3 linked regions of the Macaca fascicularis genome follow. The protein of the gene in region 2 purifies or fractionates together with the protein of the main gene of each other region. This does not show direct contact. Links are inferred from orthologs where the notes say so. Each region holds a gene or a part of one and is shown on either strand. Other genes may lie near its edges. The genes, in order: NUP43, NUP160 and SEH1L.

Region 1 (3,552 bases), on a different chromosome or scaffold from region 2:
GTCTTTGCTGTACTCTGCCTGTCTCAGGTCCTCAGCATTTGCTGTTTCCTCTGCCTAGAATGCTTTCATGTCACTTACACCTTCACTTCTCTTAAGTCTCTGCTCAAATGTTCCTTCTGCCAAGTGGCTTCTTCTTACGACTCTCTAACTAGAGTAGCTCCCGTCACCCCTGTCTTTATTGTTTTTCCACCTACTCTTGTGTATTCTTCTTCATGGTAATTAGCAGTGTATTTGGCCACATTATTTTCCTTTTTCTTTTATTTTTTTTTGAGACAGAGTCTCACTCTGTTGCCCAGGCTGGAGTGCAGTGGCACGATCTTGGCTCACTGCAACGTCTAACTCCAAGATTCAAGCGATTCACCGGCCTCAGCCTCCCAAGTAGCTGGGATTACAGGCATCCACCACCACGCCCAGCTAATTTTTGTATTTTTAGTAGAGACAGGGTTTCACCACGTTGGACCAGGCTGGTCTCGAACTCCTGGCCTCAGGTGATCTGCCCACCTTGGCCTCCCAAATTGTTGGGATTACAGGCGTTAGCCACTGCGCCCGGCCTCCTTTTTCTTTTCGGTCTCCTTTCCACTTTTCTGTGCTCTGCTATATACTGTAGGGGGTGGAAGTCAGCAAACTCCACTTTCCAGGCTCTTTGGCATCTGCCATCCAGATGGGCCTTGCCAATAGCAGGTATTCATGGTGAGTGACTGGAAGACAGAGGGGAGAAGCAGCTCCTTCCTGCTCCAGGTTTCTAGCAACAACACTGGTGGTAGTTCCAGCCTGGTTGAGGGAGCGCCTTTTCTGCTGATTCAGAACAAACTTTTACAGCATTTTCAACAATGCAGTAGCAGGGGTACTAACAATTATTATTTCTGGGTGCTCCCTTTTTTCCTATTTGTTCTCTCAACCCCTCTCCTATTACCTTTTGTTTTCCCAGCCCTTCTAACACATGTGAGACCAATTCCCTCTACATCAAAGGTAGTTTCTGACATTCTGATTGGACTCTTATTGATACATTATCTATTTTTTAACTGTCTACTAGAATATTTGCTCTATGCGTGTTGACATTTCGTTCTGCTCACTGTTATATGCCCTAACACCTAGAAGAATGCCTACATGATAGGCATTCAGTAAATATTTCTGAATGAATGAATAAGCAAAAGAACTATGGAACCACAGACAAACCCTCAAAAACAGGAAACTTGGAAAATGCAAAAACCTACAAACCCTTGATTACAACAAGAGAATGGTTTTTGGCTGACCATAACCTACCACTGACTATAATGAGGAAAAGCAGGCCCTTTTCTTTTTTTTTTTTTTTTGAGACGGAGTTTTACTCTTGCTATCCAGGCTGGAGTGCAATGGTACGATCTCGGCTCACTGCAACATCCATCTCCCGGGTAAAAGTGATTCTTCTGCCTCAGCCTCCTGAGTAGCTGGGATTACAGGTATGCGCCACCACACCAGGCTAATTTTGTATTTTTAGTAGAGATGAGGTTTCTCCATGTTGGTCAGGTTGGTCTCGAACTCTCAACCTCAGATGACCCACCCGCCTCGGCCTCCCAAAGTGTTGGGATTACAGGCATGAGCCACCACACCCGGCACAACTTGAGAAAAAACCAGTACCCTCAGTTACATCAAATATCAACTTTTTTCTTGCCATTCACACAAACTTGGCAATGCAATATAAAAGATTTGCCTGTGTCTGTGCTATGGCATGAGGGTCTAGGTCAATGGCACTCGCAAAGAAGAACCTTGGCTGTCTCAAGTGAGCCAGCTTACAGCATTTCTAGCCATCAGCCATACAGTAGTAAGTAACTTGACAGTCAGATTTCAAGCCCTGTGATACTCAAATTTACTCTGAGGCAAGAGAATAAAAATGTTTTGCCATTAAGTAAAAACTACAAGGATGTCTAATTTGGTATTTAAAAGTATAACAAGGCTGGGTACAGCAGCTCATGCTTATAACAGCAGCACCTCGGGAGGCCCAGGCAGGAGGATCACTTGAGCTCAGGAGTTCAAGACACGCCTGGGCAGAATAGTGAGAGCTCGTCTGTACAAAAAAATTTTTTTTTAATTAGCTGGTTGTGGTGGCAAGAACCTCTGCTCTCAGCTACTTGGGAGGCTGGGGCAGGAGGATTGCTTAAGTCCAGGAGGGCGAGGATGTAGCAAGCTGTGACCATGCCACTGCAGTCCAGCCTGCATGTCAGAGTGAGACCCTGTCTCAAACAAAACAAAACAAAACAAACAAAATTAAAGTACGATAAAATTACACATAACAGGCTGGGCACAGTGGCTCACGCCTGTAATCCCAGCATTTTGGGGAGGCTGAGGTGGCAGATCACTTAAGGCCAGGAGTTCGAAACCAGCCTGGCCAACACGGCAAAACCCCATCTCTACTAAAAATACAAAAAAATTAGCCAGGTGTGGTGGCACACACCTGTAATCCCAGCTACTAGGGAAGCTGAGGCACAAGAAAAGCTTGAACCCGACAGGCAGAGGTTGCACTGAGCCAAGACTGCACCATTGCACTCCAGCACTCCAGCCTGGGTGACTAAGACTCTGTATCCAAAAAAAAAAAAAAAAAGAAAAGAAAAAGGCCAAACATGGTGGCTCACTCCTGTAATCCCAGCATTTTGGGAGGCTGAGGCAGGCGGATCATTTGAGATCAGGAGTTCGAGACCAGCCTGGCCAACATGGTGAAACCCCATCTGTACTAAAAATACAAAAAAATTAGCCAGGCATGGTGGTGCATGACTGTAGTCCCCGCTGCTCGAGAGGCTGAGGCACAAGAATCACTTGAACCCCGGAGGCAGAGACTGCAGTGAACTGAGATCGTGCCACTGCATTCCAGCCTGGGTGACAGAGTGAGACTCTGTCTTTTAAAAAAAAAAAAAAAAGAGAGAGATTACACGTAAGAGTATTCATTAAAAAGTTGTACCTTGGTGAAAGAGTGATGACTTTTCAGGTATATCTGTGGAAGCATCCCAGTGCCAGAGGGATCCATCTTCAGAGCAGGTAAATAGATGATCTGGGTTGGATGGGTGAAAGTGAACTTCCCACACTAAGAGACAAGAATCAAGAAGCTCATTCCTGTGCAGATTCGCTGAACAAACAACATTAAACCCCCATCTCTAGGCACCATCTTCCATTATCCTCCATCGCATACCTTCAAGCCTCAAGTCTATCATAAAAATTAAAGGTTTCAGAATTAAAGACATAACATAACTTTCCAATGCCTATAACATGTAGAAAGGAAAAAGAACACTTTGGGAGGCTAAGGCGGGTGGATCAGCTAAGGTCAAGACCAGCCTGGGCAACATGGTGAAATACCATCTCTACTAAAAATACAAAAGTTAGCCAGGCGTGGTGGTGCATGCTTGTAGTCCCAGCTACTTAGGAGGCTGAGATAGGAAAATCACTTGAACCTGGGAGGCGGAGGTTGCGCGAGCTTGCACCACTGCACTCCAGCCTCGGTGACAAAGTGAGACTGAGAAAAAAAAAAAGGAAAAAGAAGCCAAATAAATTTGTGTACTGGGCAAGGAAATAAATGAAAATAGT
Region 2 (4,255 bases):
ATAAAAGAGATGGGGTCTTACCCTGTTTCCCAAGCTGGAGTGCAGTGGCATGATCAGATCCTCCCGCCTCAGCCTCCTGAGTGGTTAAGATGAAAGGCACATGCCACCCCGCCTGGCTAATTTTTAAAAATCAGGCCGGCCATGGTGGCTCCGCCTGTAATCCCAGCAAGTTGGGAGGCCGAGAATGGGGCACTGCTTGAGTTCGGCAGTCCAAGACCAGCCTGGGCAACCAGGCAAAACCCCATCTCTACAAAAACAAATAGAAAAATCAGCTGGGCATGGTGGCGCATACCTGTAATTGCAGCTACTTGGGAGGCTGAGGTGGGAGGGTCACTTGAACCCAGGAGGCGGAGACTGCAGTGAGCCATGATTGCACCACTGCACTCCAGCCTGGACAATGGAGCCACCAGACTGTCTCTCAAAAAGAAAAGAAAAAAAAACAGAAAGAAAAAAGAAAAAAAATTGTAGAAATGGGGTCTTGAACTCCTGGCCTCAAGAGATCCTCCCACCTCAGCCCCCCAAAGTGCTGGGATTACAGGTGTGAGCCACTGTGCCCAGCCAAAATATTTAACTAAATGAAATTTGTATCTCTAACATAAAGTCTCTCTTTTGAGCCTTAGACCTGTAAATTTCAATGCCTACTTGACATTTCCAAAGGGCTGCTCCCCAGGTACTTCAAATTTACTATGTCCAACAGAATTATTCATATCTTTCCAAAATCCATCTTCTATGGATCTCTGTAAATGGCAACCCCTCCCCACTCACATCTGGTTAGTCACATGAGACACCAGGGAGCTGTCCTTGTTCTCTCCTTTTCTTTTACCATCCCTTACCCCATATTCAATCCACCACCAAGTCCTAGTGAATCTATCTTCCAAAGGTATCTTGAATCCATCTACTTTTCTATTTCTATTCATTCCCACAATTGAACCACCAGCAACCCTTACTTGGGCCATCATAAAAGCAAACTTTTTTTTGCATTATACCCATCTAATCCAAATCCACTTTCCACAAAGTAGACTGAGATCTTCTAAAAATACATTTTAAAAAATTTAGATTCAGGGGTACATGTGCAGCTTTGTTACATGAGTATATTGTGTATATATTCCTATCTACATGAGGTTTGGGCTTCTAATGATCCTGCCGCCCAAGTTGTGAACACAGTAACTGATAGGTTTTCCAACCTCTGCTCCCCCGCTCCTTTTGGAATCCCCAGTGTTAACTGTTCCCATCCAAAAATGCAATTTTGATGTTAGTAACTCTTTAAAAACCTATTCCATTATTACTCAATGTACTTAGGATAAAATCCAAAAATCCTTAAAAATGGCCTAAGGGTCCCTCATGGTCCGAGTCCTGCCTACCTCTCCAGCCTCAGTATCTCACATTACTTTCTGTTTTACCCACTGCACTTAAGCCACACAGATCTTTGGTCAGTTCCAAACCTGCCACATTCTTTCCACTTTGTGACCTTTGCATATGGTGATCCTGCTTGCTGGACTCCTCTCTGTCCACTCCCCATACCTGGCTAACCTCGTGTCCTTTAGACCTCAGGGTAACTGTGAAAGCCTTTTCCTGCCCCACTAATAACATTTGGTCCTCTCATTAGCCTCTCGTAACCCCTGTATTTTTCCTCTAGGGCAAGTTTTCCTCCACAAAATTTCCCCATGAAAAGTGAGTCCACAACTATTCTGACATTGCTACAACGTCTTGCATGATGAAGATGGCAGTTTTGTTCATTTCGTCCTGGTACCTAGCACAATGCCTGACATATTGAAGCTCGAACATATTTGTTCAATGAAGGAAGCTGTAAAGCACTATAAAAACATAATGGGTTCATGTTTAAAACTAGTCTTATGGGCTTTATACCCCTAAGCTACATTCCCTCTGCTTTTGGTGTTGCTTGGTGTGTGTGTGTGTATTGGTGGGGGGGGAGGGTAAACTCTTCTAGAACTGTGTCTCAGTTTTCCCGACTCTGATACGAACTGAAAAAAAAAAACTTTCTCTTTCCCTAAGTGTCGATTACCGCTTCTAGAATAGCACTTTGGGAACAGCAACTAAAATTTACACACCAAACCCTACCTTCCAGGGGAGTTTGGCGAACCACAGCACTTACCAATGAATGAACCTGTTTCTGGTTACGGAGAACAACTTGCCACTCTCCACATAGTAAAAGCCTCCCGCGCTCTCACTGTATTTTACGGCGCCAGCCACGGCATTTGCGGTCCCTGCAAAATGAACGTGGTCAGCCTGCACACGCGTCTTCTGAGAAATGACAGGGACTAAGGGACCTGATAAAGCAGAGGGTGACAGACTGACAACCCATACAAAGAAAAGAGGAAAACGTCGGACATCAAGGAATCTCTGATCCCGGGGCTGGAGGCATGTGGACTCAGGAGGATGAACCCAGCAGTCAGAGACCCTAGGACCCATGAGAGGAGCCCGAGGGGACAGATCGGATCGCGCCCTCCCTGGCCACTTCCGTACCAATGCTGCAGACTGTGAATTCCCGAAAGTGCCTCGGCCTTTCGCGCTCAGCCCCGCTTAGCTCCACGAAGCTTCGTTCCAGGGATCCCGCCGCCGCCATCTTCCCGCCGTCGCCGCGATGCCCGACGGGACAAAGGCAGGGCCGCGCGGCCGCCGTCACTTCCGGGGGCGGGGCGGGCGGAGCTGCGGACGGGTGAAGCATCCCGGGAGCAGAAAGGGGGCTCCGGTCCTTCGTTGCGGGGCTTCCACCGGGAGAATGAGGATGGGCAGCGGGGAATCCAGAAGAGAAGCGGGCAGGGGAGGCCGACTGTATCTGCTGGAATCTTCGAGTGGCCGGCTGGAACGCCTCCGGAGGGCGGTGCCCTTTTCTCAGCGGCCGCAGGGCAGGGGGCGGGACCGGGTTTGTTTCTGTTTCCAAAACGCGGGGCTCAGTCTCCCAGGAGGGGCGAGGTCCGGGGAGGTCCGGCCTTTGGGCGTCCTCTGCCGGATCCCGGGTGTTTGGTCACCTCTCCCTCGGTTAGGGTGTCCGTCTGTAAATCTTTGCCGATCCTCCCTTCGCTCTTCAGTGGCACTTGGGTTGGCGGGGTGAGGAAGGGGTAGTGAGGGAAGGGCCTTTGGTTTTGGTCTTTTTTCCCCCCAAGAGACTGTATTCGTGTATTCCTGTATAATGAAACGTAATGTGGTAAACCTTGATGCTGCCACCTGCTGAGGTTACCTGAGTGCTACTCACTTGGATACGTGAAAAGAATTTGCCATTCATTCCAACCGTGATCTTGCACTTGGCTGTCAATGCAATAAGGGCCCATAGTGGATGTTTAGAAGATATTGTGGGGGTAGATGTTCAAAATCGGGGAAAATGCTAATCTCCAGCAGGGAAGGTTTTGTTCCTTAGTGATAGCCAACGCTTGTTGGTCACTTCTATTACCAGTGACCACAGCCATTCCCTGTCATTCTCCGTTTCATTTATCTGGTTCCGACCATCATTTCCTATCTTTCCACTTCACTCCCTCTGGGACACCAACTTTGGCAGTGCAGCCCCCTCATTCTACCTGAAATCCATTGTTATACAAGCTCTTCACTGTCCCTCACTTCTTTGGTGTTTCTTCCTTATCCTGAATACCATTAAATTACTTCATTGCCTAACTCTTCATCAGTAAAAACAACTTCGATTACATTCAAATCTGTAGCTGAACGTGCCTGAAGAAAACTATACACCAAGGTCGGGTGTGGTGGCTCACGCCTGTAATCCCAGCACTTTGGGAGTCCAAGACTTGAGGATCACTTGAGGTCAGGAGTTCAAGACCAGCCTGGCCAACATGGTGAAACCCGGCCTCTACGAAAAACAGAAAAATTAGCCGGGCGCAGTGGCTCACGCCTGTAATCCTAGCACTCTGGGAGGCCGAGGTGGGCAGATCACGAGGTAAGGAGTTCCAGACCCGCCTGGCCAACATGGTGAAACAGTGAGATACAAAAAATTAGCCGGGCATGGTAATGCACGCCTGTAATCCCAGCTACTCGGGAGGCTGAGGCAGGAGAATCACTTGAACCCGGGAGGCAGAGGTTGCAGTGAGCCTAGATCGCGCCACTGCACTCCAGCCTGGGTGACAGAGCAAGACTCAGTCTCCAAAAAAAAAAAAAAAAAGAAAAAGAAAAATTAGCGGGGGCATGATGGTGCGTGCATGTAATCCCAGCTGCTTGGGAAGCTGAGGCAGGAGAACCGCTTGAACCTGGGAGGTGGAGGTTGCAGTGAGCCGAGATCGCGCGGTTACAC
Region 3 (4,205 bases), on a different chromosome or scaffold from region 2:
GCCGGGCGCGGTGGCTCAAGCCTGTAATCCCAGCACTTTGGGAGGCCGAGACGGGCGGATCACGAGGTCAGGAGATCGAGAGACGATCCCGGCTAACACGGTGAAACCCCGTCTCTACTAAAAAATACAAAAAAAATAGCCGGGCGACGTGGCGGCGCCTGTAGTCCCAGCTACTCGGGAGGCTGAGGCAGGAGAATGGCGTAAACTCGGGAGGCGGAGCTTGCAGTGAGCTGAGATCCGGCCACTGCACTCCAGCCTGGGTGACAGAGCAAGACTCCGTCTCAAAAAAAAAAAAAAAAATTGAACCTTATTACCCAGAAAAAATATAGATTACAGTAAGAAGGTGCCCATTTCACCTATTAAAAATGTAACGAGGGCAACAACACTATGAAATCAATACTATCACTGGCAGTATAAAAACGGTATAACCTGAAAAATAGCAATTTGCCAATTCTCTTCACTAGTTTTTAAAATATCCACTAATTTCTCTTCTGGAATTAGCCTAAGAAAATCATTCAAAATACATAAAATGCTAAACTAATGAAAATTTTCAGTACAACACTATTTCTCACAAGACATGTATGTATATACACACACTGTACCATGGCAATTTAAAACGTTAAAGGAAAAACAGAGGAAATCAATAAATATTAACAAACATTAGCAATAAGCCTGTAATTTTTTTACTCTCTAAAAAGAAAAATATATTACTTGTTCATTTAAAAATATATACAAATAAATACATGGCTCCTCCTTTAAAAAAAAAAGTACTCTGGAATAAATGGACATAAGCGGGCTGGGCAAGGTGACTCGCACCTGTAATCCCAGCACTCTGGGAGGCTGAGGTGAGAGGATCACTTGAGCCCAGGGGTTCGAGACTAGCCTGGACAACACAGCAAGACCCTGCCTCTACAAAAACAATCTGTAGGCAGGCGTGGTGGCGTGCATTTGTAGTCTCAGCTACCGGGGAGGCTGAGGTGGGAGGATGGCCTGAACCTGGGATGTTGAGGCTGCAAAAAGCCAAGATCGCACCACTGCACTTCAGTCTAGGTGACAGAGCCAGACCTTGTCTCAAAAAAAAAAAAGGAAAAAGAAAAAAAAATTAAGTGAAATAAACCAAATATAAAAGGGCGAATATTCTATGATTCTATTTATCTGAGGTACCTAGAATATGCAAATTAATAGAAAGTAGTAGAAAAGAGGTTACCAGAGGGTGAGCTGGAGGCAACAGGGTGCTCTCGGGTACAGAGTTTCAGTTTAGGATGATGAAAAGGTTCTGGAGATGAGCAGTGGTGACGCTGCCCAGCAATGTGAATGCTGTGCTCAATGTCACTGAATTCTACACTTTAAAACGGTTAACGTAGTTTATTACAACAAAAATAAACTTGTTTCAAAAAAAGAAACTACATCGTTTAAGAACTGCAACACTACCTATAAAAAGTTTATCTTTGAGAGATCATTGGTATCAAACTCGAATGTGAAAAAGGAAAAACTGTCCTTTAGATTTTCAGTGACTCTGGAGTTGTCGAGAACCAAAATAAGCCGCACTCCAGCTTTCATTCATCCTGCAACACATCTGGGAGGTCCCTAAATCCCATATAGCATCCCCACATTCCTGTAATCTCAGCACTTCGGGAGGACGAGGCGGGCGGATCACGAGGTCAGGAGTTCAAGATCAGCCTGGCCCACATGGTGAAACACCATCTCTACTAAAAAATACAAACAAAAAATTAGCCAGGCGTGGTGCGCGCACCTGTAATCCCAGCTACGTGGGGATGCTGAGGCAGGATAATCGCTTGAACCCGGGAGGCGGAGGTTGCAGTGAGCCGAGATCGTGCCCCTGCAGTCTAGCCTAGGTGACAGTGACTCTGTCTCAAAAAAAAAAAAAAAAAAAGAAATTCTGCTTGTCGGAAGTGTCTACAGACTTTTACAGGAACTTCAAGAAACAAACCCTCCCATTCCTGCGCAGCAAGCAGAGAAGTCATTGGATGTAAACGGTTTGTATTTTTCTTCCTTGGCGTAACAAAGTGAACTTCTGCTCTGAACCCAGGGAGAAAACCATGTGCCCCAGTAAGAGAACACCGGCGGGGCACAGAACTCGACACAGCGCCGGCCAGGCAGAGTCTCCCACCAGGTCCCACTGCAGGTCCTCGAGTGAACAGTGCGGGCAAGACACGCCACGCCCAGGCGGACGGCGGGACGCCCCCGGGTTCCCGCCCCCGGGTTCCCGCCCCCGGGTTCCCGCCCCCGGGTTCCCGCCCCCGGGTTCCCGCCCCCGGGTTCCCGCCCCCGGGTTCCCGCCCCCGGGTTCCCGCCCCCGGGTTCCCGCCCCCGGGTTCCCGCCCCCGGGTTCCCGCCCGCAGCCACCGCAGCGCTGCCCGAGCGAAAGCCCGGCGTCCCCTGCGGGCGGGAGCGCGCACGCGGCACCAGCTGCGCAGGCGCACGGGAGCGCGGCCCGCGAGGCCGCCGTGACCCCACAATACGCGGGCGGGGAGGGCTTCCGCCCCGTCCAGCCAGGGCTCGGCCGCCACCCCACAGCTTCCCGCGGCGTCACTGAAACCCAGACACAGCCGTGTTCCCCGCACCGCCCACCCACTCCCCCTCCTTCCGGGCTCGGCCCCGCCCGCAAGCGCCGCGCGCACCTTCACGCTCTGATCGCTGGAGCAGGTCGCCATCCGCCGCCCGTGGAAGTCGAAAGAGACATCGTGGATGAGATCCTTGTGGTCCGCCGCGATGCTGCGAGCCACAAACATGGCTTCCGTCGGGCCCGCGCCTCCGAAGAGGACAGTGGCGGCGGCAGCGGCGGCGGCGCGCGGCCCGCAGCCTCGCCCGACCTCGCAGCCCGGGAGCGCACGGCGCGTGCTGCCCACGCCCCCGCCCCGCCCCTGCCCATCAAGCCCCGCCCACACCCCCGGTCCCTCAAGCCCCGCCCCACCCACGGGCCCGTCCAGCCCCACACCGTCCCCTGGCCCCTCAAGCCCCGCCCAGGCCCTGGCTCATCATGACTCGCCCCACCCCTCGGTCCCTGAAGCCTCGCCCCGCCCCCTGGCCCGTAAGCCCCGCCTACCCCCCGGGCCGTCATGCCTCGCCCCGCCCTCCCGCCCCCTCAAGCCCCGCCCTGTCCTCGGCGCCGCACGTCCTGCGGGACTGGTGCGGGTGCCTCCGGGCTCTGAGCGTTCGGCGGCGGCGGTTGCTCTGCAAAAGGCGAGTTACCTGTGATGAGAAGCAGTAAGAGGTTATTTGTATACTGTGAAATGAAGAAGGATGAGAAAGTGAAGACTGCTCTCGCGGTCCTCGTTTCCCCCAGACACGTGCGAGGCGCGCGGAGCGGGTGGAGGCGGCGAGCCGTGGGCGTGGTCAGGAGCCGCGCTCCGCAGGGACGGCCGAGGAGCCGGGAGGGCCGGGGAGACGCCTGAGGGCATGACGGGCAGTCCAGGCTCGGCCGCCGAAGAGCGCAGGCTGGACGGGGAGGAGAGGATCGGAAGTACTAGTTTAAATGCGTCAACGTTTTGCCGGCAGACCGGGCCCGGGGGTTCCAGGAGCCACCACGGGGTAGGGAAACAGTAGGAATTACCAGAGCCCGCCGGTAGAAACGTCATCCCGGGGGAAGGAAGCAGCCGGGGAACTGGGCCGCCTGCTCGCCGGGAGGCGGAGTCCTCGGGGAAAGGAGGTGAAGAGGACCAGACCCCCGGGAGGACGCCTGGCTCGGATCACGGATTCCGCCACAACGGAGAGTGGAGGAGCCTCTTCCGAGACGCCAGCGACTCAGGGGGCTTGCTTATAGGAAAAGGCATTCTGGAGGGCGTAGTGGGAAAGTTTAGGATGGAGACGGTGGAAGCTTGCGTCAGGGGAGCGAAAGTACAGAAGAAAAAAAAAACTAAAAATGAGGCTGTAGGAAATCCCTTTGGATTTTGGCCAGGAATGACAAGAATGTGAGGTATGGTAAGATTAGCAGGCTGGAAAGGTTTTTAAATGATTGGTCCCAGCTGTCCCCTGACGGATTGCACAGAAACCTGCAAACAGAAGTGGCGAAATGACCTTTTTCAACCGTAAATAAGATTGTATTGCTACCTTAAGAGGTGTACCCCACCTCTTATGATAACTGATAACAACTATAACTTTTTTGAGGGTCAAAGACACTCATATCCAAAGAAAGTGCTCACTATGAAAGTCCAATCAAAATATATTGATTATTATTAAAATAC

The links.
Region 1: the proteins of NUP160 (region 2) and NUP43 purify together in Homo sapiens (affinity purification with mass spectrometry; 5 studies listed by BioGRID and IntAct, counting the BioPlex papers as one, with this or other methods). This does not show direct contact. The link is inferred for Macaca fascicularis from reciprocal best matches to the Homo sapiens genes NUP160 and NUP43.
Region 3: the proteins of NUP160 (region 2) and SEH1L fractionate together in Homo sapiens (co-fractionation; 3 studies listed by BioGRID and IntAct, with this or other methods). This does not show direct contact. The link is inferred for Macaca fascicularis from reciprocal best matches to the Homo sapiens genes NUP160 and SEH1L.

The regions. Positions count from the first base shown.
Region 1 is NC_088378.1:57,718,863-57,722,414, forward strand, and holds part of NUP43 (nucleoporin Nup43), read right to left. Parts: intron 3,056-3,552; coding exon 2,933-3,055; intron 793-2,932; coding exon of another isoform or gene 743-792; exon of another isoform or gene 699-742; coding exon of another isoform or gene 595-698; exon of another isoform or gene 461-594; intron 1-460. UniProt on the Homo sapiens protein: Component of the Nup107-160 subcomplex of the nuclear pore complex (NPC). The Nup107-160 subcomplex is required for the assembly of a functional NPC.
Region 2 is NC_088388.1:17,983,423-17,987,677, reverse strand, and holds the start of NUP160 (nuclear pore complex protein Nup160), read right to left. Parts: upstream 2,816-4,255; 5' UTR 2,687-2,815; coding exon 2,485-2,686; intron 2,226-2,484; coding exon 2,114-2,225; intron 1-2,113. UniProt on the Homo sapiens protein: Functions as a component of the nuclear pore complex (NPC). Involved in poly(A)+ RNA transport.
Region 3 is NC_088392.1:81,000,896-81,005,100, reverse strand, and holds the start of SEH1L (nucleoporin SEH1), read right to left. Parts: upstream 2,845-4,205; 5' UTR 2,754-2,844; coding exon 2,643-2,753; exon of another isoform or gene 2,639-2,642; intron 1-2,638. UniProt on the Homo sapiens protein: Component of the Nup107-160 subcomplex of the nuclear pore complex (NPC). The Nup107-160 subcomplex is required for the assembly of a functional NPC.